3 linked regions of the Mytilus edulis genome follow. The protein of the gene in region 2 interacts with the protein of the main gene of each other region in a pairwise test. Links are inferred from orthologs where the notes say so. Each region holds a gene or a part of one and is shown on either strand. Other genes may lie near its edges.

What was found. The genes of interacting proteins can lie anywhere in the genome.
Region 1: the proteins of splicing factor 3A subunit 1-like (region 2) and splicing factor 3A subunit 2-like interact in a two-hybrid assay, tested with the Caenorhabditis elegans proteins (2 studies listed by BioGRID). The link is inferred for Mytilus edulis from reciprocal best matches to the Caenorhabditis elegans genes prp-21 and repo-1.
Region 3: the proteins of splicing factor 3A subunit 1-like (region 2) and splicing factor 3A subunit 3-like interact in a two-hybrid assay, tested with the Caenorhabditis elegans proteins (2 studies listed by BioGRID). The link is inferred for Mytilus edulis from reciprocal best matches to the Caenorhabditis elegans genes prp-21 and prp-9.

Annotation. Positions count from the first base shown.
Region 1 is NC_092350.1:35,651,504-35,659,285, forward strand, and holds the start of splicing factor 3A subunit 2-like, read right to left. Parts: upstream 3,075-7,782; 5' UTR 2,930-3,074; intron 504-2,929; 5' UTR 483-503; coding exon 357-482; intron 1-356.
Region 2 is NC_092346.1:97,751,159-97,758,111, forward strand, and holds the start of splicing factor 3A subunit 1-like, read right to left. Parts: upstream 3,104-6,953; 5' UTR 3,010-3,103; coding exon 2,901-3,009; intron 390-2,900; coding exon 225-389; intron 1-224. Other genes in the region: zinc finger B-box domain-containing protein 1-like, read left to right, coding at 6,713-6,774.
Region 3 is NC_092353.1:19,794,503-19,802,298, reverse strand, and holds the start of splicing factor 3A subunit 3-like, read right to left. Parts: upstream 3,075-7,796; 5' UTR 2,987-3,074; coding exon 2,891-2,986; intron 2,082-2,890; coding exon 2,034-2,081; intron 938-2,033; coding exon 885-937; intron 277-884; coding exon 171-276; intron 1-170.

The DNA.
Region 1 (7,782 bases), on a different chromosome or scaffold from region 2:
TCTTTATAAGGGGGTTAACTTTATGAGATGAGTACAATCACTCATCATATATATATCTCATCACTAGGTTCACATCAATATCAACATGATCAATAGTTAAATAGTTTTCTTATCTGTTCTTAATAATAATTAATTACCCCCCAAATATATCCATTATAACAAATAAAAACTTCTTGCTGAATCGAAGACTAGTGCTAAAACTTTAGATCTAACAAGTTTAAATATTTAATTATATAGACGACATGTGACAGACTTAAATTTTTTAAATTAATCATTTTTTTTAATTAATCAAAGCTCTAGATCTTGTATAATAACATTTAATGTAAACTAAACACATAAAAATTGGAGAAAAATACCTTATTTAAGTCAATTGTCTCTAAAGCTAACTGGCGTAGCCTTTCTCTTCTATCTCTGTTTGACTCAGAGGCCGAGGCTACTCCTCCAGACCCTGTCTTTCCTCCAGCTCTGTTTTGGAAATCCATGGTCTATTTCAGATGACCAACCTATAATTGGATGATGTCAATGTATTAATAAACAATTATGAAAAACTTTATATGGTAGCTTTATTTACAAAGCTTAGAGAAGTTGAAGAATTTTTCTTATAATCACATTTTTTTCTGATGTTTTATTGTCTCTGTAACCATGGTAACATACACAAGATTCAGTACTGTACTTCAATTGCACCAGGATCCCATAAAGTGCAGCAACATCCTAATTTTAGTCTTATTAATCTTGGTAATATATCTCTTTAATTGTTTATGATTGTACTTTAAAATAATATTTGGTTAAAACCTTTACAGTTGAACCTCTTCATCCAAGAGGTACAAAATGTATAAGTCCACAGGAAGACATGTCACCTTTAATACCCAGACTCATTATTCTGATTCCCAGACAATCAGTGTTTGCTCTTACTCCTTAAAGACTTTAAGTCCTGTGCTTAGCAGAAAAGCAGTATTTGGTTTGCTCAAGCCATGGTTTGAAACCCACAAATTATAGCACTCAAGGCGAACCTGTGTATTTCTGTGCGTTTCTTTAATCTACATTGACTGGAGGTATTAGGGGAGGGTTGAGAACTCACAAACATGTTTCATCCCTCCCCATTTTTGCAACTCCCAAGGCAGGAGCACCTGATCTTTGTTAATCTTGTGGTTTTTTTTTAATGTTGGTTCATTTGTATGTTTCAGAGTTTAGTTTGATGCCCTTTTTAACTTAACTAGGATACATTTTTATTTAGAGGCCAGCTGAGGCCCAGCATTGCTACAAATAAGGCCAACTAAAATTAATTAGTAGATTTTCATCCAAATTTTTTTTTTAAATGGGGCGGGTGGGAGGATTTTATTCTTTAAATTTTATTTCATAAGAAACCCTCTAGTGACGAGTTCTATATACCGCAGGGGTATAAACAAGTGTAAAATAAGCTAATATATCACGTTTATATACATGTATGACTCATGTATCAGGAATCGTTCATAAATTTTCAAACTCTTTATATCTCTGATAGGCAACCACAATTGACTGTTTTACATGTAAATGCCACTTTAGAAACCTATCTATCATTGTTTTTTGTAAACATGGAGAAAATTAATGCTCACTTCAGTTGGACTATACCTACACCAAATTTATTTTGTTTTCTAACCGATGGTTTGAAGTTCCCATAAATTTAAGCAAACTTGTACAAATATATGCAATACAAGTATTATGAATACAGAATTAAATGAAAACTCCAACAATGTTGAAAGTAATAGGGTTGGTGCTAAAGCAAGATGCAAATACAATTATGATGTAAAACATGAACTGAACCAAAAAGAAGTTGTGGTTTAATCAGAGGGTGTTTGCTGTTTGTCAACAAAACACGATAGCCATGGATATTAAAATCTAACGAATTGCTATAATATTAATGTTTTTCGATCCTCTTTTTAGCTCAATTTATGGTGGTAATCAATCTAACAAGTTCTTTCTGGTGTCAATTTCTGTAATCCTGACACGTTTTTTTGTACCAATGTGTTCCATGATTCCTTTGCTTTCGATATCATTGAATTCATAGTCCGAATTTCCTGACACAAAGCTAAGTCATTGTATAAATAAAAAAAACGGCTTTCTAATCATTTGTGACATACCGCGATTTGCGTTCTTGGACACAGCGTTAAACTCGTGTAAACTCGAATATTTCATGCCCTTCTTGTAATCTATCTCTATTCTCGGTACATGATGTTGACATCATAGAGCTGCAGAATATGTCGACTTAATCATTTTCGTTTGAAAAAAAAAACGAAATTTGAAACAGGAAGTTTTAAATGAAACAAAATTATCGATGTTTACTGATAATGGACATGAACAAAATCTGGAAATCGTAATTTTTCCTAAATAAAAAAAATCGGGGGCTGAACGATTTCAAAGGGGCGGGCGGGGATGAAAATCTATCAATTAATTTTAATTGGCCTAACGGGGTGAAGTTTCTCGCTGCATTGTCAGAACATTTTGACATATTTTCCATTAAGCAATTCCATTCTCAATTTTTTATGCTACCAGGAGACCACCGTCAATGAGGCGGTCTGATTCCACCGGTGATTAAAAGAATTAACCATTCGGCATTCCCAAAAACTGACAAAAGGCACAAAAAATACTAATCTGACATTCCATCTTATAATGACTTATTGTAGTAGAACTGTGTTCCATCTTGTTGTAGTAGAACAGTTAAACTGACCTTTTATTGAAAAATAATTTTAAACGGATTCTTGTATATAGCTATGCATTTTCTAGTATCAGATCGAAGTTAGAAGGAAAGAAATAGAAAAAATAAATGCATCGCATGAAACAAGTTCAAGGGGCGAAGTGCCTGTCTTCATGGTCATTGCCATTGGGATGATTGTCAATGGGACATTTAAATATGTTATTTACAAACACACATGTCTTTACATCTCATTAATACCTGACGAGGAACACTGTGCCGTTTACCGGCTATTATTTCCACATGTACAATTATTTGCAAAACAACGCTTTTCTGACGATTTACTGGTTGCCGTACCCTTGTATATAGAAGAGCATAGCAAATGAAAATAGAAAACCAGTGCAATGTTGAAGGAACGCTTTTATGGGTACAGTAAAATGCGGAGTCACATATAACTAAAGACCCAATATGTATTAATATTTCACCGTTACAAAGAACGAACCATTTATCTTGCAACATCCAATAAAATCTTAAGGTGGTATGGGAGTCTAAAATAAAAATGATAGAATTTGTTCATACTTTGCCAAAACGTTGTATCTATTGATACATGTTGAAAAATATAATAAAAATGATAGGTCACCGCGCATTTTCTCAAGCTACAGGACGGGACAAAATGACACATTTTGTATGGATTATACAGGAAAAAATACCATTTTGTGATTAGAAACTAAACAAAATGATAGAATTGTTAAATACTTCAGGAAAAGATAGCTTTCAGACACTGCTTTGAGAATATCAAAAGAAAAGATAGGGTCACCGTACGTTTTTTCCAGCTAAAATACAAAATAGGAAAATTCCATACAGAATCCTTCAGAAAATGCACTTTTTTAGAGTTACCTCCCCTTAAAATGCCAATTAAAAAACCCAAAAAAAACAACCAAAAATAATTAACATTTGCAAAAATATCAATATTTAGAAGTTATATTCTTATAAATTGGTACTTTTAAATGAAAATGTACATTCAACATCTGCATTCCTGCATCAAATTTTGCTAACTTGATGGAAAATCTGGACCTTTGATTCTCTGTTTTTTACAATCCAAGATGGAGGAAGACACCCATCTTCTTCTTCCGAATACGGGAGTAGACTCCTAGGTAGGAGTGTAAAACTTCCCGGAACTTGTGTGCTATGTACATATGGACTTAATTTAAAAATAATTTGACAAAGAAAAATCATTAACAATAACATATATACATTATGTACAGTGGCTTTGTAGTTTAATAAGTTGTTGTGGATCCTTCAAGTGTTAGAGTGGATATGCCACTTTTGAAGGATTCCAGGGTGTCAGACATACCTATTGCTTCAGGTAGTGAGTTCCAGTCCGAAATAGTGCGAGGATAAAATGAAAATTTATAGAAATCTTTATTTGTAGATATTTGCCTAAATTTATGTTTCCCCCTAGTACGTCTATCAGATATTGTTAAATTGTCCTTAGGAACTTCCACTAACCCCCAATTTATTTTATACAGCATAGTAAATCTAGCATTTTTTCTTTTTATTTCTAAATTTTCCCATTCCAAAGATTTAATTAAGTTTGAAACTGCACCAGGTGATCTGTCTTTATAATCATTGAAGACAAACCTGGCTGCCTTACGCTGTACCTGCTCAACCTGAGTGATGTGATGTTTTTTGTACGGATCCCAGACAGGGGAAGAGTATTCGACGACTGGACGGACAAGTGATAAAACAATATACCACCTTAAACTCAATTTACTGTTATCTCAAGAAAGAGTACTCTCCAAATTATGTGAAAAATAAGTGCTCAATAAATTTTGAACGATCCACAGAATGTCAGACCACGCTATTTAGGCTTGTAGGAGGTTGGCCGAATATGCAGCAGATGGTGGTAAAGGTGATCGAGCTATGAAGTGAACACGAAAACACTTGAAATAACAAAAACACACATCGTTCGTTGCACGTAAATTAAAAATCGTGAATAACGAAGCACGAGAAATTAAATTGTAAATATTATAATATATGTGGCAGCTATTCTTATGGATCTTTCGAACAATGAGCTTTTGACTGTTTACCTCATGATATTCTTTTAAGTAAATTATCTGCCTACGGTCTCTCTTCTAAATCAGTGAAATTACTTCAAAATTATCTAACAAATAAAGGCAACAAATCAAACTTCAGGGAGTACTCAGCAGTTGGGCTGACATCCAGAAAGGGGTACCCCAAGGCTCAATCCTGGGGCCCCTATTATTTAATATTTTTATAAACGACATATTTTATTTTATTGAACATGGTACCTTGTTTAACTATGCCGATGACAATACTCTGTCTTATGCTGACAATGATTTTGATAATTTATTATGTACACTCGAAAGAGAAAGTGCTGTTTTAATTGACTGGTTCAGATTTAATTGTATGCAGGCAAATCCTGACAAATTCCAAGCCATTGCAGTTGGAAATAAAACATTTGCAAAAAAGCCTGTTTTTATATACAGTCAGCAAAAATATCCTGTGATGAGATTGTCAAACTTTTGGGTATTGATATTGACTATCAACTTAATTTTAATCACCACATTAAAAATATTTGTCGTAAAGCATCCCAACAACTGAATGTTTTAAAGCGCATTGGCTGCTACCTTACTAAATTGGATAAACTGACAATTTTCCACACATTTATTTTATCTAATTTTAATTTTTGTCCTTTGGCATGGCATTTTTGCAAGAAAAATAACACCACCAATAAAATTGGAAAAAATTCAGAAAAGGGCTTTACGATTTATATATGAAGACTATGTTAGTTCATATGATGAACTACTTTTACGAGCAAAGGTTCCATCACTGAAAATAAGACGTATGCGTAACATGGCTATTGAGTGTTTTAAAATTTTATATAAATTGTCACCACCATGCTTACATGATTTAGTTGTTTTGAAAGACTGTAAATATAATTTTAGATATTCTAATATTGTAGATATACCCAGGGTCCGAACAACAACCTATGGTAAGAACTCTTTACAATACACAGCTGCTGTTTTATGGAATGATCTACCTGATGATTTTAGAAAAATTGCTAATTTTAGTCAGTTCAAAAATATTTTAAAGTCATGGAATGGAAATGACTGTAAGTGCACAGTTTGTGCAGACTTTTAGTTTATATATTATGCAAATTTATTTACCATCTAGATCATATCCCATTTTTTCAATTTTTATGCTATGCATTTTTACCAGCTTTTATGCCTAGTTTACACTTATATGTTTTTAGCCTTAATATCTAGCGTATGCTTATATTCTGCTTTAAGTGCTTCATTTTTGTGCTGTGATAGTTATTGCATGTGTACTATATTATGTATTGTATTGTTATAAATGTTGTACTGTTAAATAATGTCTCATATGTCGGTTAAAAGCTCATTAGAGCTTATGTTTGTCTATGTTTTATATACCATGCCGACTCTAAATAAAGCTTATTTATTATTATTTATTTATTAAGGAAAAAAGTTCTCGGCTGAGAAGTTATTACTCTGACGTTCTTTGGAATCATGCAGTCATTATTAATGGCATGGTGAGGTCAACTCTTGTATCGGTCCGCTAGTTGCATCTGATTAAAAAAAGTATTCATAGTATTCATAGTTATAATTGAAGATAATTTGACAGCCATTAATATCATGGAAACAAATAATTCAAAACAATCTCGGGACTAACTTTGAATTTAGTCCTGGTTTACTTTTTAATCGAGTCAATTTTTGGACAATTACGAAAAATTACTTACCAATACGAAACACGGACAATAAATAACAAGAAACACGAAGCACGCACGTCGAACCAAACACGAGAAAACGAGAAATAAAAATTAATGTCAAAACACATTGAAAAACGATGCACGAAAATAACCCTTGTAGCATATGGTGTCTCATTTCATTTTTTTTTCACTTCGTCAATCTTATTTTTCAAGCAGAAAATAGTAAATTAGATAAATATTGTTCTTAGTAATTGGGTTGACATTCCTAAGGGGACTCAACAGAGTTTTTATCCTGGACCAATAATTGTGACAGTTCTATATCTTACTGTAAACCAGATTATGATTGTGAAGATGACAGTTCTATATCTTACTGTAAACCAGATTATGATTGTGAAGATGACAGTTCTATATCTTACTGTAAACCAGATTATGATTGTGAAGATGACAGTTCTATATCTTACTGTAAACCAGATTATGATTGTGAAGATGACAGTTCTATATCTTACTGTAAACCAGATTATGATTGTGAAGATGACAGTTCTATATCTTACTGTAAACCAGATTATGATTGTGAAGATGACAGTTCTATATCTTACTGTAAACAGATTATGATTGTGAAGATGACAGTTCTATATCTTACTGTAAACCAGATTATGATTGTAAAGATGACAGTTCTATATCTTACTGTAAACCAGATTATGATTGTGAAGATGACAGTTCTATATCTTACTGTAAACCAGATTATGATTGTGAAGATGACAGTTCTCAGATATCTTACTGTAAACCAGATTATGATTGTGAAGATGACAGTTCTATATCTTACTGTAAACCAGATTATGATTGTGAAGATGACAGTTCTATATCTTACTGTAAACCAGATTATGATTGTGAAGATGACAGTTCTATATCTTACTGTAAACCAGATTATGATGTTTTATGATTGTGAAGATGACAGTTCTCAGATATCTAACTGTAAACCAGATTATGATGTTTTAATTTCTACTTTAGATTCTGAATCACTGAATTTTATTGAAGGTTTAAAAATTGATAAAATGTAGCAGGCCCTCACAAATTTCGGGTTTTGACAGTTGTGGGAAAGATATACATGTTACACAGTGTTCCAGCTAGGCCGTTTTCAGAGGGCGCGGCGCCCGCCCTTTTCCGAGTGGCGCCCTGTGCCCTTTTTACAGTTTCCAGGGCGCCCTGCCTTTTTTGAAGATCGATTGCATATTAATTTGCGTATTGATATGATACGCTAATTACTAAATTTTACCTGGGGAAAAGATTATGACTTTGTTTACCACCCCAAGCTAATCAATGGTTACAACTGGTGTCATAATCTGTTGTTATAGGTAATCCGTTT
Region 2 (6,953 bases):
TGAAAAAAGCATATGACGTGGGAGTACAATCGGAACAGCACTGGCAATATATTCATATTTTACCACGGGTGTGTACTCAAAGCGTTTGAAGGACGTCATGTTAGAATAAAGTATATATTGTAAATGCAGATCATAACATAACAATCTTATCCATATCATGACCATTGTTTTCTCTGACTTTGTACTTGTAGTAGGTATTATTTAAACACCAGCAATCTATCTACCTTTGCCCTCCTTGAACTCTTTGACTTTATACTGGTAATATGCATGGTATGGGTCATTTTGTTGGAGGAAATTAAATTTAGGGTTGTTAATTTCATTCTGACGGATTCTGCTCTCAAACTCAGGTCCATTTCTGGCAACGAAGCTAGCAGTCTTGTCTACAATATCTTAGAATCCTTGTTAAAGAAATGATATATGTTACAATTCAGTGTAGTATTCTGGTCTATATAGATCAAAGAGGTAAAATAAAAATAAATTCTTTCAATTAACAAAAGTATCAATATTTGAAAAATTCTTAACTAACAATTTCTTCAAATGTTGTGAGGAAGAATTGAATATGAACTGAATATGTTTCATGTGTATCACTCTAGCCTATAAACCTTATTTCATGTAACTGCCTTTTACAATAACTTAATGATTTCATAATTTTTGTACTCATATACATGTATGAACTGTACATGTTCAACAGAATGAGAATTACACAGTTGCAGATTCTAAATTTTAACCACAAATTGTTTAATTTAAAATAAATACAAAAATTAGTTTGATTCAACACATGAACAAATTCATGTGTGGGTGACATGGTTGGGATAGATGTACATGTATGTTGTAAAATTTTGTTACATGTGAAGAGATGAGATTTAAAGACAGATACTGATAGTACAGCAAACTTGTGACCAATTTGCAGAGGAACAGTAAATTCTTATTTTGTTCCTTCCTTGTGTATAAATACACCAATTTAGGAACACTGAGATTCTGTTATGCTCTTTTCTTGAGTATTGATACACCTACACTTCATCTTTGCATGTTAACTAACAATATAATACTTACATGACTTACCAATATTATACTTTATTTTATTAATACTCATAAGAAACTATTAAACTTGACCTAAGCATGTTAACTAACAATGTAAATGTACTAATATGTCTTACCAATATACATGATATACTTTATTGTACATTGTATCAATACTGCTGGTAAACTATTAAACTTGATTTAAGCATGTTAACTTACAATATACTAAATTACATGACTTACCAATATACTTTATTGCTACTGTCCTGAAGACAATCAATGAATATTTATCATAATATTTTATATTTATAAAATGCTAAACCATATTATCCCCAGCCTTTAAAGCACCAGGGGCACAGAGTTTTTCAGTCAAATATATAGCACATTGGTTAAATTTTATTGAAGAGGTGAAATTTAAGCTGCATACTGATATTTTATCTTAATATAGTATTAACATGCTTCAGCAATATACTGCTCAAGATTGATTGATTGTTAGTGAACATGTTTAAAGTCATATGAAACTTTTATGTATATGTTTTTTATGACTAAATGGATAGTTTTTATTATAAAACTTAAGTAAATATATATTTTTTTCTCAAGAAAATTTTATTATTTGTCAAAATTAAGAAGAAGTTGACTTTTTTTAATTGCTTGCTTCCAGCAAACAATTCGCCAACATGTTTTCCATATATGCAGTTACCTCAGACGGACCTTTCTTGTAAAAATCCCGAGATCTCAATACGCAAGTGCAAATGGAAAACCAAACGTAATCATCGCTCTGTCATCATCATAGACTATCTCTTATTGTACATGTTATACATGTGCTTACCTAAATACCTATGCTTCGTTGATGATTGTTTACTAACCATGCTAACGGGCGACTATCATTAAACTTTGGCTTCAAATTACTACCTTCAATTAGCGTTAATTAACATGATTAATGCAAAAAAAACAAGTGAAACTGCGAGCTACTGCTCACTGATGATACCCCCGCCGCAAGTGGATAATATTAATAGTGTAAAACTATGGAAGTGTTCGGTAAACAGGAAGTTGTCGAGTGATGAATCTGAAAACGCATCACACGGTATAGCTGACTTATATAAATCCTGAAACCAAATTTCAGAAATCCTTGTATTGTAGTTCCTGAGAAAAATGTGACGAAAATTTTCAATTTGGCTATCATGTGTAAAATCAGACAAGTGTTCGGTAAACAGGAAGTTGTCAAGTGATGAATCTGAAAACGCATCACATGGTATAGCTGACATATGTAAATGTTGATACCAAATTACAGAAAGGGTGGATGTGTAGTTCCTGAGAAAAATGTGACGAAAGTTTCATGGGACGGACTGACTGACGGACGGACGGTACGACGGACAGACAGAGGTAAAACAGTATACCCCCCCTTTTTTAAAGCGGGGGTATAAAAACACCATCATTTTTAGATAATTTCATGCGTTTTCATGATTTTTTAAGAACTTGCATTATATAAATATTTGAATAAGTTTGTTAAACTTTAATACCCTTATCAAATATTAATATTTTTTAATAAAAGTAGAGAGACCGATCCCAGGGCGACCAGACTCTCTGGGCGAAAGAACTCAGGGCAAATATGTAAGTAGGGCGAATGGACCTGATACCCTTTCTTAATAATTTAAGCTTATTTATCTATGCAAGATTTAAAAAAAAATTATAATGGGATTTGTTTTTTTTCTGTGTGCAACTACAAGACAGACAGTTGTCTCTGGAGGAAAACAACATACATACCTCTACACAAGTTTCTTTAGAAAGACTATACATGTATAATAACCTTTACTTTGTTTTCTAATATTTTTTCTATTCTAAAGAGTGAGAGACATATGTTGTTGACATTAAAAGGATACTCCTTACTTCTGGGGGAGGGTATATGATTCCAATAACTGGTTTAGCTGCTTGTATTTCTTCTTCTGTTTTCTCTTCCTGTACAGATATAAGTTTCTCAATAGGCGGCATTTTGGAAAAAGTGATCTTGAAGTAGAACACCTCCAATATCTAAATTGCTGCGAGTAAAAACGTACCGGAAGTCGCTAAGGTTTATCAAAGTCGCAAAAACGTTTTGCCTGAAATATATCTTTTTATAGCGCTACATATTCTTTTTAGCGGCGAAATATATAGGCTGATAAAATTTTATATGCATTGGATTACAATGATATAAGCAGCTGTTAAGCCCACAATTTAATCTTAAACAAAAGTACGTTTTCAACTCTTAAGCGTCTTATAAACCCAGAGTAAAATCTCCATTTTTCTCGCGAGACTTTCCAAATATTTACCTTGGATATCCGGTAAAATGAAGATTTGAGGAGAAATTTAGGTAACGGTAGCCTTTGATTACAGGATCCAGGGGTTCAAATTAAAAAAAAAATTGTGAAAAGTACGGCACCACTTAACAGTAAAGTTCGATGAAAGGTCCAAACATTGACTCTTGTCTACAAAGTTTTACAGAATAATTTTTTCCTGTATTCACGGAGGCAAAAAATTCTAAACATGTTCGACAGGAAAAATTAAGGCCTAATTAAAACATTATTTCTGAAGCTTCGTAAATAGATAACAAAATGTTTGACGAAAATGTAATTTAAACCTTCACCGCATCAACAAATATTTTGCCTCTGAGGCGTGGAAGCAACTTAAAATTCGGATATTATATATTATAGGACTATAGTTTACAGGGACTGTATATTTCATATTCAATCAGTACATGTGCATTTAATTTGCAAGGTTGAACCATTCATTATATATTATTAACTTATAAATTAAATTCGAAAATATTATTTGTCATACCCTAGCTTCACTCGTGTTACTCGAAATCCCCATATTATCGATAATTTCTGTATATATTTCCGATTTGATTACATTTTATTATAAAACTGGATGTGGGTACGCATAGCCTACAAATGTCAATTTGACTATTGGTACCCACATGCGGGTACTCGCAGACACTGCCTAAAAGAAACGGAAATACCGTAACGTTTCCGATGTTGGTTCTGTTGTTAGGGGTTTAGTTGTGACGTTATTTAAGTTATGACGTCATATTCAATATAAACAAAGAAACGCTGTTATCCAGGTAACGTTTTTTTCATATCAAACAAATATTAAAAATGATTGGGTGTTGAGTTCCTTCCTATATTTGTTGATATGTTGATAAATATACATTTTATTCAAAGTCTTATGCAAACAAGACCGGAAACGGAAGAAGACCGGAAACAGAAGTAGATCTGAAAAAAAAGTTAACGATTTTGAGTTCATTAGTACAAAGGAAATTTTCCCGATTTTTTTTTTTTTTTTTTTTTTTATTGATTTTTCTACCGTTATTGGGGACTTTGTCCCCATATTAGTACATCAGAAGGGTAATTTTCACCCTCTCACACACATCTCTGGTACAATGGAGTTTAAACTATAAAAATGGGTACTTTGGGTGCCTCGGTTGGTGAAAATTGTCCCCTACTTTGACCCTGGAGATCAATCTTCTGATATCTCTCTGGTTTGTCTGTTTCCACCGAGTAGCCTGTTGGTTCTCTCCAAGTACTTTGGCTTCCTCCACCATAATAACAGACTTCCCGGTGTCCTACAGGCTCCCTTGGGCGGTGTTGGGTAGGGATTGTTAATATTGTAAAGGACACATCTCCATTAATCCTTAGGGAGTGTACATGGATCCTCTGTACCCTTGCAGTCAATCAAGGGGTGTGTCTAAATTGGCGGAATCTCTCGAAAGTACATACATATAGGGTGGGTCTATTATATAAGTGTGACCAAGATTGGCCGATTTTATCTAAGCGTGACAAGTGAAAGTCAAATAATAGGGCTCTTCACGGTTAGTTCGGCCAAATTGAATAGGGGACAGATTTTATTGAAAGAGGTGGAAATAGTATGAAAGTGTGGGAAATCTTACATTTCTTATGCATGTTTCTAAGCAACTGCTCTGTTTTAATGATGTGTTCCTGTATTTTTCACACCATTTTTACCTCCATTATGAAAATCTGCCCCTATCCAATATGGCCCAACTAACCGTGAAGAGCCCTTTTAAGCATGAAAACAAGAAACAAAGCTTGGCGAGGCACAGGAAATAACATGCGCCATTGTGGCAACGAGAAGCAGGATACAGGATTCTCACTAAACTATAAGCGAGATACAGGATTCTCTTTAACAATAAGTGGGATCGGAGAACAGACCCCGTATACACCTTATCGCTATTTGTCCGCCACTACTAGATATCACACAGGTTCCCATTAAATTTTGATGTCATAAAACAAAATATCTGACGCCCCAATGGAAAAGTGATTGTTGAATGACGTTAAAAGTTCAAGCGGCCGGGTTAGCTGGGAATAGCGATAAGGTGTATGAGACTGCATAAAGGGTGTATATCACTATGCGTATAAGAGTCAGTTTGGTATTTTATACAATATTTTACAGGTTCTGGAAGCTTCTCCACATTAGAAGAGAAACAAACTCATGGTTTAGCAACGTTTACAACCACTATGAAATTAGAAAATATATTTATAATTATTAACCTTTAACAATACTGTTAAACCAGGCATGCCCCAAAAAATAATCATCAACCAGTTGATGTTTTTCTGTATGTGAAGAAGAAGAAGAAGATGTGTTAATATGAAGAACGCGGATCTTAATGAAAGCACCCATAAAACATTTGCAAGTTATAAGTGTTTCATACAGAAATTCATCAAATATGCTTTCTGAAACTTGAAAACTCAAAAGTACATTTGGTGTGGCCAATAACCAAATTGGAAGTCCAACTGTAAATCTGATACGTCTCGGAACTTCAGACCACAACTAATTTGAACCCCTAGCATGTCTGGGATCATTTAAGTGATTGTTTTTAATTCAAATTGAATCAACCCAATTTTTTGCAGTATTTTAAACATGGAAAAAATACTATTTCAGATTTGAAATCAATAGATATTAGAAGATGTGGTATGAGTGCCAATGAGACAACTCTCCATTGAATTACAACTGTTAAAAGTAAACCATTACAGGACAAAGTACAGCCTCCTATATGAAGCCTCAAGGCTCACTGTCACACTGAACAGCAAGCTATAAAGGGCCCCAAAAATGACTAGTGTGAAACCAATTGTGGTTGCATTGTATTTAGGAGATAACTGTATTTTAGCTTGGCCTTCCTAAAAGGTAGATTTTACTGTTGCGAATTGAGTTTACCTATTGATGCGGAGCATAGATAGATAAACAGATATTTGCGACAGTAAAATCAAGTTTTACGAAGGCTAAGCTTAAAGTACAATACAGTTATCTCCATTCTAATGCCACATACAATATGTATTAAAATAAATTTGTCAAACATACATACTTAAAAGTATTTTTACTTTTTCGGATTTCAAAATGGGGGCTTTCTTAGTTATGGACTGGTAGAACGTGGAATCTAACCCCTTAAAATATCTGTCAAGGTCCAATGAAAATTATCGTTACAAACTAATTGCATTAGAAATTGAATTTACAATTTCTTTCTTGACAATTTCAAAATTTCCTACTGTAGGATTTTGTGTGTTTTGTTGAGAAACACTTATGTTACATTTTTTGGACTGATAAATAAATAAAGAGAGGACTTCATGAGTAATTTAACTGATGATTATTATTTTACAGACTGACAGAATTCAAGTTGGGAGCGTAAAGTCAGAAAACTGTAAAGATGTCCGCATTTAATATCAACACTGCAAAGAAAGAAGATGTGTCTGTTAGACTTAAACAGCAGTATGTATCTTATTTTTACAGTTTTATTGTTGAAGTGTTACCCTAATATCCAATCTAATTAAAATTAAATCCTTTAATTGCTCCTGTTCTGATATGTCGCGCATCAAGCCTTGATGCGCGACATATCAGAACAGGAGCAATTAAAGGATTTAATTTTAATTAGATTGCCCTAATATCTA
Region 3 (7,796 bases), on a different chromosome or scaffold from region 2:
TCTGGTAAATGACATCATGAAGATGTGCAAATTGATGGTCTTTTCTGGTTAAAGACATGATTCCAGAAATGACTTATTGAGAGAGTCTAAATAATATAGAATTTGCAAGTATGTCAGATACTGTTTTTTTAAATCTTTTTTTTTTTTTTATATATGTAGAATGTTCATACCTCATTTGGATGCCTTTTGTGGAATTCTCTTAGCTGCTTAAGTCTAGTGTAGAACTCAGAAAACTCATTCGGTCCTGATAAGGACTGTACTTCTTCTTTTCTCATTCTGGAAAGAGAACAAATAAATATTAACTGGACCTCAAGAACCTATGTGAACAATAACTACAGTTACTACACTATCTTGGTGTACAACTCAACCAGTACATGCCAAAACTGAGACAGACTTTGATGGTTCTGCTGTTGTGAACAAATGTTTTATATGTGAAGTATCAGGCAAAGGTGTCTTTTTTATTATGCGAAAATAATGAAATAAGAGAACAAGATTGCTTATATCCACTTTTTGAACTATGGTTAATAGTTGTCTCATTGGCAATCATACCACATTACATCTCTTAATTCTTATTAGAAGAAATGTTGCTTTTATATCAATCCAATCAGGGTATTGTTTTCATTTCTTCAAATTGATGTTCCAACAGACACAGTAAAGAAAATTTCACCGTCAGTTTACAACATGCAAACTTTATGAAGGTCACTAAACATAACAATTGTGTATTCATAAATAAGATTCTACTAATTAATAATCTTTAAGTCTACAGTTAACACGACTAGCAAGCATTTAACTAAACTTTAAAATGTGTACTTCATGCATCTCATGTTCAGAAAATTCTATCACTCTCTCCATGTATATATATATCTATAATTATGAATATTTACCCATCTTTATCCTCATACAAATCCCCTAATTCTGTTGTACATTCTACATATCTCTGTAATGTAATGATATTCATCAAATAAAATAAGCTGCAATATATATATTTCTTGTACATGTTCATAAGACAATACTTTACAACTATTCATTTAAAGCACAAGACAAATATACAAACTATTTAAAAACAGAAAAATGTTTTTTTCTAAAATTTAACACCAAAAGAGAAATATGACTATGAAAGTTTTTATGATGTAGTTTAGACTCAATATAAATATGATTATATCATCCCAAATTCTTCATTTTTTTTTACCATAACTCAGGGATAACTATCTAAAACAATTGCCTCACAAGCCTGTTTTGCCTACTCTTTTCTAGACATGTGTATAATATACAAATGTATAACTGTGGGATTTTAGCTCCATATGGCATAGATGCCAACCCCCTTTTGACACAATCAGTAACAAACTATCAAATTTTCCGTATTTTTGAAAAGTTTTCAGTAATCATTCATAAACGTGCATTTACCAATAAAAATTACTGACGAGTGGTTACAAAGTGATGCACACTAAAATTTGTCATTTAACATGTTGTCTGAAGTATGTATTCCATTCATTAATTGTTCAGATGTTCTCGACTCAAACATTTTTGTTTTGTCAAGGAGAAGTAGAGAAAGGGGGAAAGCTACTTAATAAAATGCAAGTTTGCCTCTTCGGAAGTCAGTTAGTTACCCAACAATAGGTTGATAACTCCCGAGAAACCGGAAGCATTACATTGGCGTTTCCTAAATACTGGACCAGGACGGAAAAGTAATGATAAAAATCCGCGTTTTACAAAATTGAACGTCGATGATTGGGAATCCGTAACTATTCGACTTTGACCGTAATAGCGTAGTTTTTATCGCAAAATCGGAAAAACTACGGAAAAATCGTAATGGTTGGCATCTATGCATATGGTAAAACAACATCATGCAAATTCCCACTACAAATGACAACTTATGCATTTGATAAGAAAAGCACACAAGCTTTCGCTATATTAACTGTTTCAATAAATGTTTTAATTATCATTTTTACAGAATAAAAACTTGATCTTCTTGTAAAATTTCTGAGATGCATTTTTTTTTGCCATTCATTATCATTTATTACATGATTACTTACATCTAGTAGATGCCGAAGTCGCTGGTCTGAATTGATCTGTTCTCTACCCTGAAATAACATTATTTTAAATTTATAAAAATGACTGGCATGACTGGAAGCTATATTGTATAACAATTAACATAAATGTATTGACAAATAATGGAAAAAAATCACCCTCTGCTGCCAGTTGTTTTTCAAGGTTGCATTTTGTGTGCCAGAAAATATGACAGCTCGACATCTGTGACTTCAGATGTCAAGTAATGACGTCATTCGACAACAATTTCCAAGTAAACTATTGTTTGACAGATCAACGTAGAATGTAGATGTGAAAAAGACACAGCAATGAAGAGAAGATTTCATAAATTGAAACATGGCTATATGTGTCTGGTCAAGGATTTGTATAGTGAGACACTATAAAAATCCTTGGTCTGGTACATTCGGTGTGGACACATGTGTCCCTCGAGCAGCAATACACCTTATCGCTATTCCCGGCTGACCTGTCCGCTTGAACTTTTGACGTCAACAACAATCACTTTTCCATTGTGGCGTCAGACATTTTGTTTTATGACGTCAAAATTTTACGGGAACCTGTGTGATTTCCAGCAATGGCGGACAAATAGCGATAAGGTGTATAGGATTAAATTTGCATATGCATACATTTATGTTTAATTTTGAAGGAGTTTAATCATTATCATAACATTAACTTTTGATAATATATATTATTTGATTCAACTAACGGTATTGTTCTGATTCGTGTTCGCTGAAAATAATACATTGTTTTTCTTGGGTCAAATTGGTGAATTTGGGTGACTTGAAGTTGGAACATCATTGAACATTGACATGAAATGATTACAATTTACGTGATAAGTCCAACATACATTTTTGCTAGGTTGAAGCATTTCCTTGGTCATTGCATCTTGAAGTCGTTCTCTTTCTTCATGGTATCGTCGTTGTTGCTCAAGAAGTGTTTCCATATCGTTAAAATGAAATTAATTTGTCGATGCTAAAACGAAAATAGTTCGTCTTCATTAAAATATAGCTTCAGTTTCCCTATTGAAAACTAATTCCTTAAAACGCGTTACTGATTTCAAGATTGATGGAATCGCCTTTTTTCGTCCTACAATCTCGTCCCATCTCATAAAACGCTTTGATTAAATCAAGTATCACTAACAACCGACAAGAAACAACAAAAACAGGAATCAAATATGCACATTTTGTTTAAATTGGCAATCTGTACAATAAAAATATAAAGCTGTGTTTAGCCTTGACAGTATTGGGTTGTGCACAATGCTGGACACCGCATGCACATTTATTCTATGACTGGAACACTGTCTTTTGATCGCAATAGTGTCCACGCCATACTAATCTATAGAAATATCTCGTATTTGATAAAAGGCCAGTTTTGAAATTTCTGACTTTGTAAGTCAAAATGTTTTTTTTTATGAAGACTTGACTGTTAACTTTTGACTATGCCTTACAGTTCGCATCAACATCAACATGTTTTTTTTTTTAGATATTTTATAATTTGACCCAAAAGACCATCTGATCATACTGATGTAAGAGAATAACAAAGTTTCAAGTTGTATTGGCCAATCTTCATGGTCAAGAATATATAACCAAAATATTTCAACAACACACAGACTGCGGACAAGCAGCCGGGTAGTATACGTAGTCGGATCAGGGGAGGGGGGGGGAGGTTCTGGGGGCCGGCCCCCCTTTCGTGGGAAAAATTTGGTTGATTATATAGGGAATCACTGAAGCATGACTGGAGCGGCCCCCCCTTTTAGGTCAGTCAGCGGGCCCCCCTTATGAAAAGTTCTGGATCCGCCACTGGTATACACATTCAAAGGGAGAGGCACAGAAAATCAATGATTTGATGACGAAACGAGAACTTTTTACAGACAAATAGAATAGACAGTGTACAGAAAAGATATGGATGTGAATTTCAAAATATTCAAGAAGTTTAACGTATGAAAAGCATCAAATACAAAACAGCTGTCTCTATGCTGACTTTGGTGAACTTCTGTTGATGAGTTACTGTATCAGGTTTTTCAAAAATATTATAATGGCTGTTTAGGTCAATAAACTCATCATAGATACCAGGACTAAATTTTGTATATACGCCAGACGCGCGTTTCGTCTACAAAAGACTCATCAGTGACGCTCGAATCCAAAAATTAAAAAAAAAGCCAAATAAAGTACAAAGTTGAAGAGCATTGAGATCCAAAATTCCTAAAAGTGTTACCAAATACAGCTAAGGTAATCTATGCCTGAGGTAGAAAAGCCTTATTATTTAAAAAAATTCACAATTTTGTAAACAGTTAATTTATAAATATAACAATATCAATGATAATTCATGCCAGCACAAAAAGTGCTGACTACTGGGCTTGTGATACCCTCGGGGAAATAAATCTCCACCAGCCAGCTTCTGTTTACAAATTGATTTTGTATAAGTTTCACTTCCTAGTAACTCGATCACAAGTTATCAAATATTACGGATAAGTTTATTTATTTGTGGAATTAAATACATGTAATTCATACAGTCAATAAACATATTTTCCAAGTAAACTATTGCTGACATAACAACCTTATTTAGTTACAAACCAGATGTGTACCTGTTCTGGGTAATTTGGTTCGATCCTAAAGAGAAGTTAAAAAAAAAAGTTATACAATAAATGCATGTTTTCTCGTTTTCAAAAACTGAAACATATGCAAAGTATTTTACTTGTTGAACTTATAACGGTTGCACATATTTGCAAAGCAAAGTTCTGGAATTATGCGGAAGATGGCGACGGTCATTTTTTTCATAACGTTGAAATTGAGTTTCCCGCAAATATATTTGAGGATACAGCTTTGGAAACCCTACATGATTTACACGTCTTCCAGTGATGTTTGTTGCTTTTTATTCATCTTGATACTATCAATATAGTTATAAAATTGTTTTTTTTCCCCAGTGCATTTGAACTTCTGGAAGGTTTTCTCGATTATTATTAGGCTCTTCAAGCCCTATAAGACGATTTTATGGTATTACTGTATAGGCCATGAATAATATATTTTTAATTTTATTCTTTATAACATATGAGTAAACAACGCTTTTATTCCTTTTTTGAAGGATATGTTTTTTTGGGGGTCTATTTTCATTCACGACTGCATTCAGTTTCATTTCTATCAAACAGCATTAATAATTAATGTTGTTTTTAGTTTTTTTGTTATAAGGATTTTTTCTGTTACTTACTTAATTTTTTATTTGTGGCATTAGAATGATCATGACAGGAAAATTATATAGAAACTAATGTACCATGTCGATGCACCCCTAGTCTCACTCCTTTTGGGGTTCATGAGATATCCTCACTTATTTTGTTACTCTGGTGTATCAATCATCTTAAAATTGATTATGAGAATTGAACATTGGTACACTACTGTTGCCAAAAATTAGACATGATTGTGACGACTGAACGGTCATATATATAGGACACCTCATTGCTATTACATTATTTAATTAAAATTAAATATAACTTTAAGTAACATTAAATTCTTTTATGCAAATGTTTTCCACAACTGTTTTCTTTCATGGATACCACTCCCCCAACATAAACAAACATACGTTCTGCTCCTTTCCTCCTAATATTCAAAACATCTCAACTCAACACTAGACTATCCTCTCCAAAACCAGAGTCCTGTCTTCCCACAACGATAGCACGAGAGTTACCAGTAGAGTTGAGAGCCTCAGTTGCTTGGTTCTTTTCGACATTTGATTGGAGCATCATTGTCACGGTTACCCTGTGGAGTCATCTCAGGCACTATCATTTACTACTCCATTTTGGACTCCTAATCTGACTCTGTCTCATCAGTCTGTTTGATGCCTTCAGACGTTGTCAGTTGTTTTCCTTGTATGCTGTTCCTATAAACAACTTGTTGCAGCTGTATGATATAGCTATTCGGTTTATTACTAGTATCAATCGGCAGCTTTTAAAAAAGGTAGTAAAAGTTCCTGTGTAGCGTTTTCTTCTTTCCCTCTCCATTTTCATTCTGAATCAAATACACTGGGGTGTCGTTGTTAGGCTGTGTAACAACACGGTACGAGCCCTCTTACCACGTGTATGTAATCTTGTTTCCCGTCGTGACTACTTATCTGACAAGCACTCTGTCGCATGGTTGTAGAATGGCACCTCTAACTTTTTTGTTAATAAATGACTTCTGTCTATCTTAAGCTGTTCATGCATATCTTGATGCTAAATCATATTCCTTCTATAGTCGCTTTTACACGGCATCGACATACGTCGTTGCTGATTCTTTCTTGCCATTCATATCTTAACCCAGGCAAATGTCCACTGGTAATCTTGGTGGTCTACCAAAAATCAAAAAGTACGGTTAAAACCAAGTTGTTGTCTATCGAGTACAATTATATGTATTGGCGAGTCCAATGACACGCGACTTCCACTGTTTGTTGTTTCAATGGTACCAAGCTTACTGATCAGTGTTCGGTTGAAGCGTTTTGTCATGCTATTCCCCATAGGATGACATGCCGTGGTTCTTGACTTCCATTCCAGTGATGTGACATAATTCTGTGATGATGGTGAAATCTAAGCTAGTGCCTATGTTAGAGTGGATTCTCTTTGGCAAACCAAGTGAACAACAAAGTGGAAGAAGAAGAATTCGGCTGGTTTTTTCAATTTGGTTTATGGGTATTAATCGTGTTAACACGGGTCAAACTCTGTCCCCTTTGAAGAAATATCTTTATCAATGAAAATTTCAAGACACCATTTTCACCAAACGTAATCTCGATCTGTAAATCATCATAACAGACTCACACAAAGATAATCAGCTCAATATATGAAGGCGTTCAGAAAAAAATCGGTATAACTGATATTATTACGAAATTTTCTTGTCAAAAGCCCGTTTCCTATCGAAAGTCGGTGGGTTTTTTTTTCGGGCACTCCGACTTAATCCATCAATAAACTTACCTGAAACTTTGGCAATGTATTAACGGGGAAAATATGACAGACAGCAACCAACGACCACCACTGACCGGTTTTTCTCATTTGGAACAGTCGCTATCATAAATCATATGGCGTGGTGTCAATTATCTTCACTGAATAATTTTTTCTTTCTCAGGAAACAATTCTTATATGAATAGGTTGAAAATGGAGTTTCTCCACTTTAAATATCGAGAACACTCTTCAACTTTTTACTTGTTTGGCTTTATAAATATTTTGACATGAGCGTCACTGATGAGTCTTATGTAGACGAAACGCGCGTCTGGCGTACTAAATTATAATACCTTTGATAACTTTTATCAAGAAAGCAAGCAGTATTTTTTTCCCCATGACTGGAATATGAAACCTCTGCATGATGATTGATGTGTTGCTTTATACAATTATTTGGCGGATATATAAGACGGTTCAAATACAGCATATCGAACTTGTTAAATGTATGTAGAGGTTTTTTTACTCTACAAAGATTTAAACATTGGTAGACCACTGTCGACTTTACTAAAACCACTTACCCCCTTTTGAACCATAAAAGGATTATTTGAACCATCCGTCTTTATACTATATAACTATACTTCACACAAAAATTCCAAGAAATAACTATAAATATAAACCGCGCGTCAATATATTCGACTAAACGCCTTTCTAAAGTTCTCACCACCATTCCATGTAATTTGGTGAAAAGATGGCCTTCACAAATATTGTGATGATATTTTCCCAATGGTCCTTATCCGACGCGGAGTCCTGAAAATTCGAAATGTCTACAGCAAAATCTTCAATCAGATTGTTTACA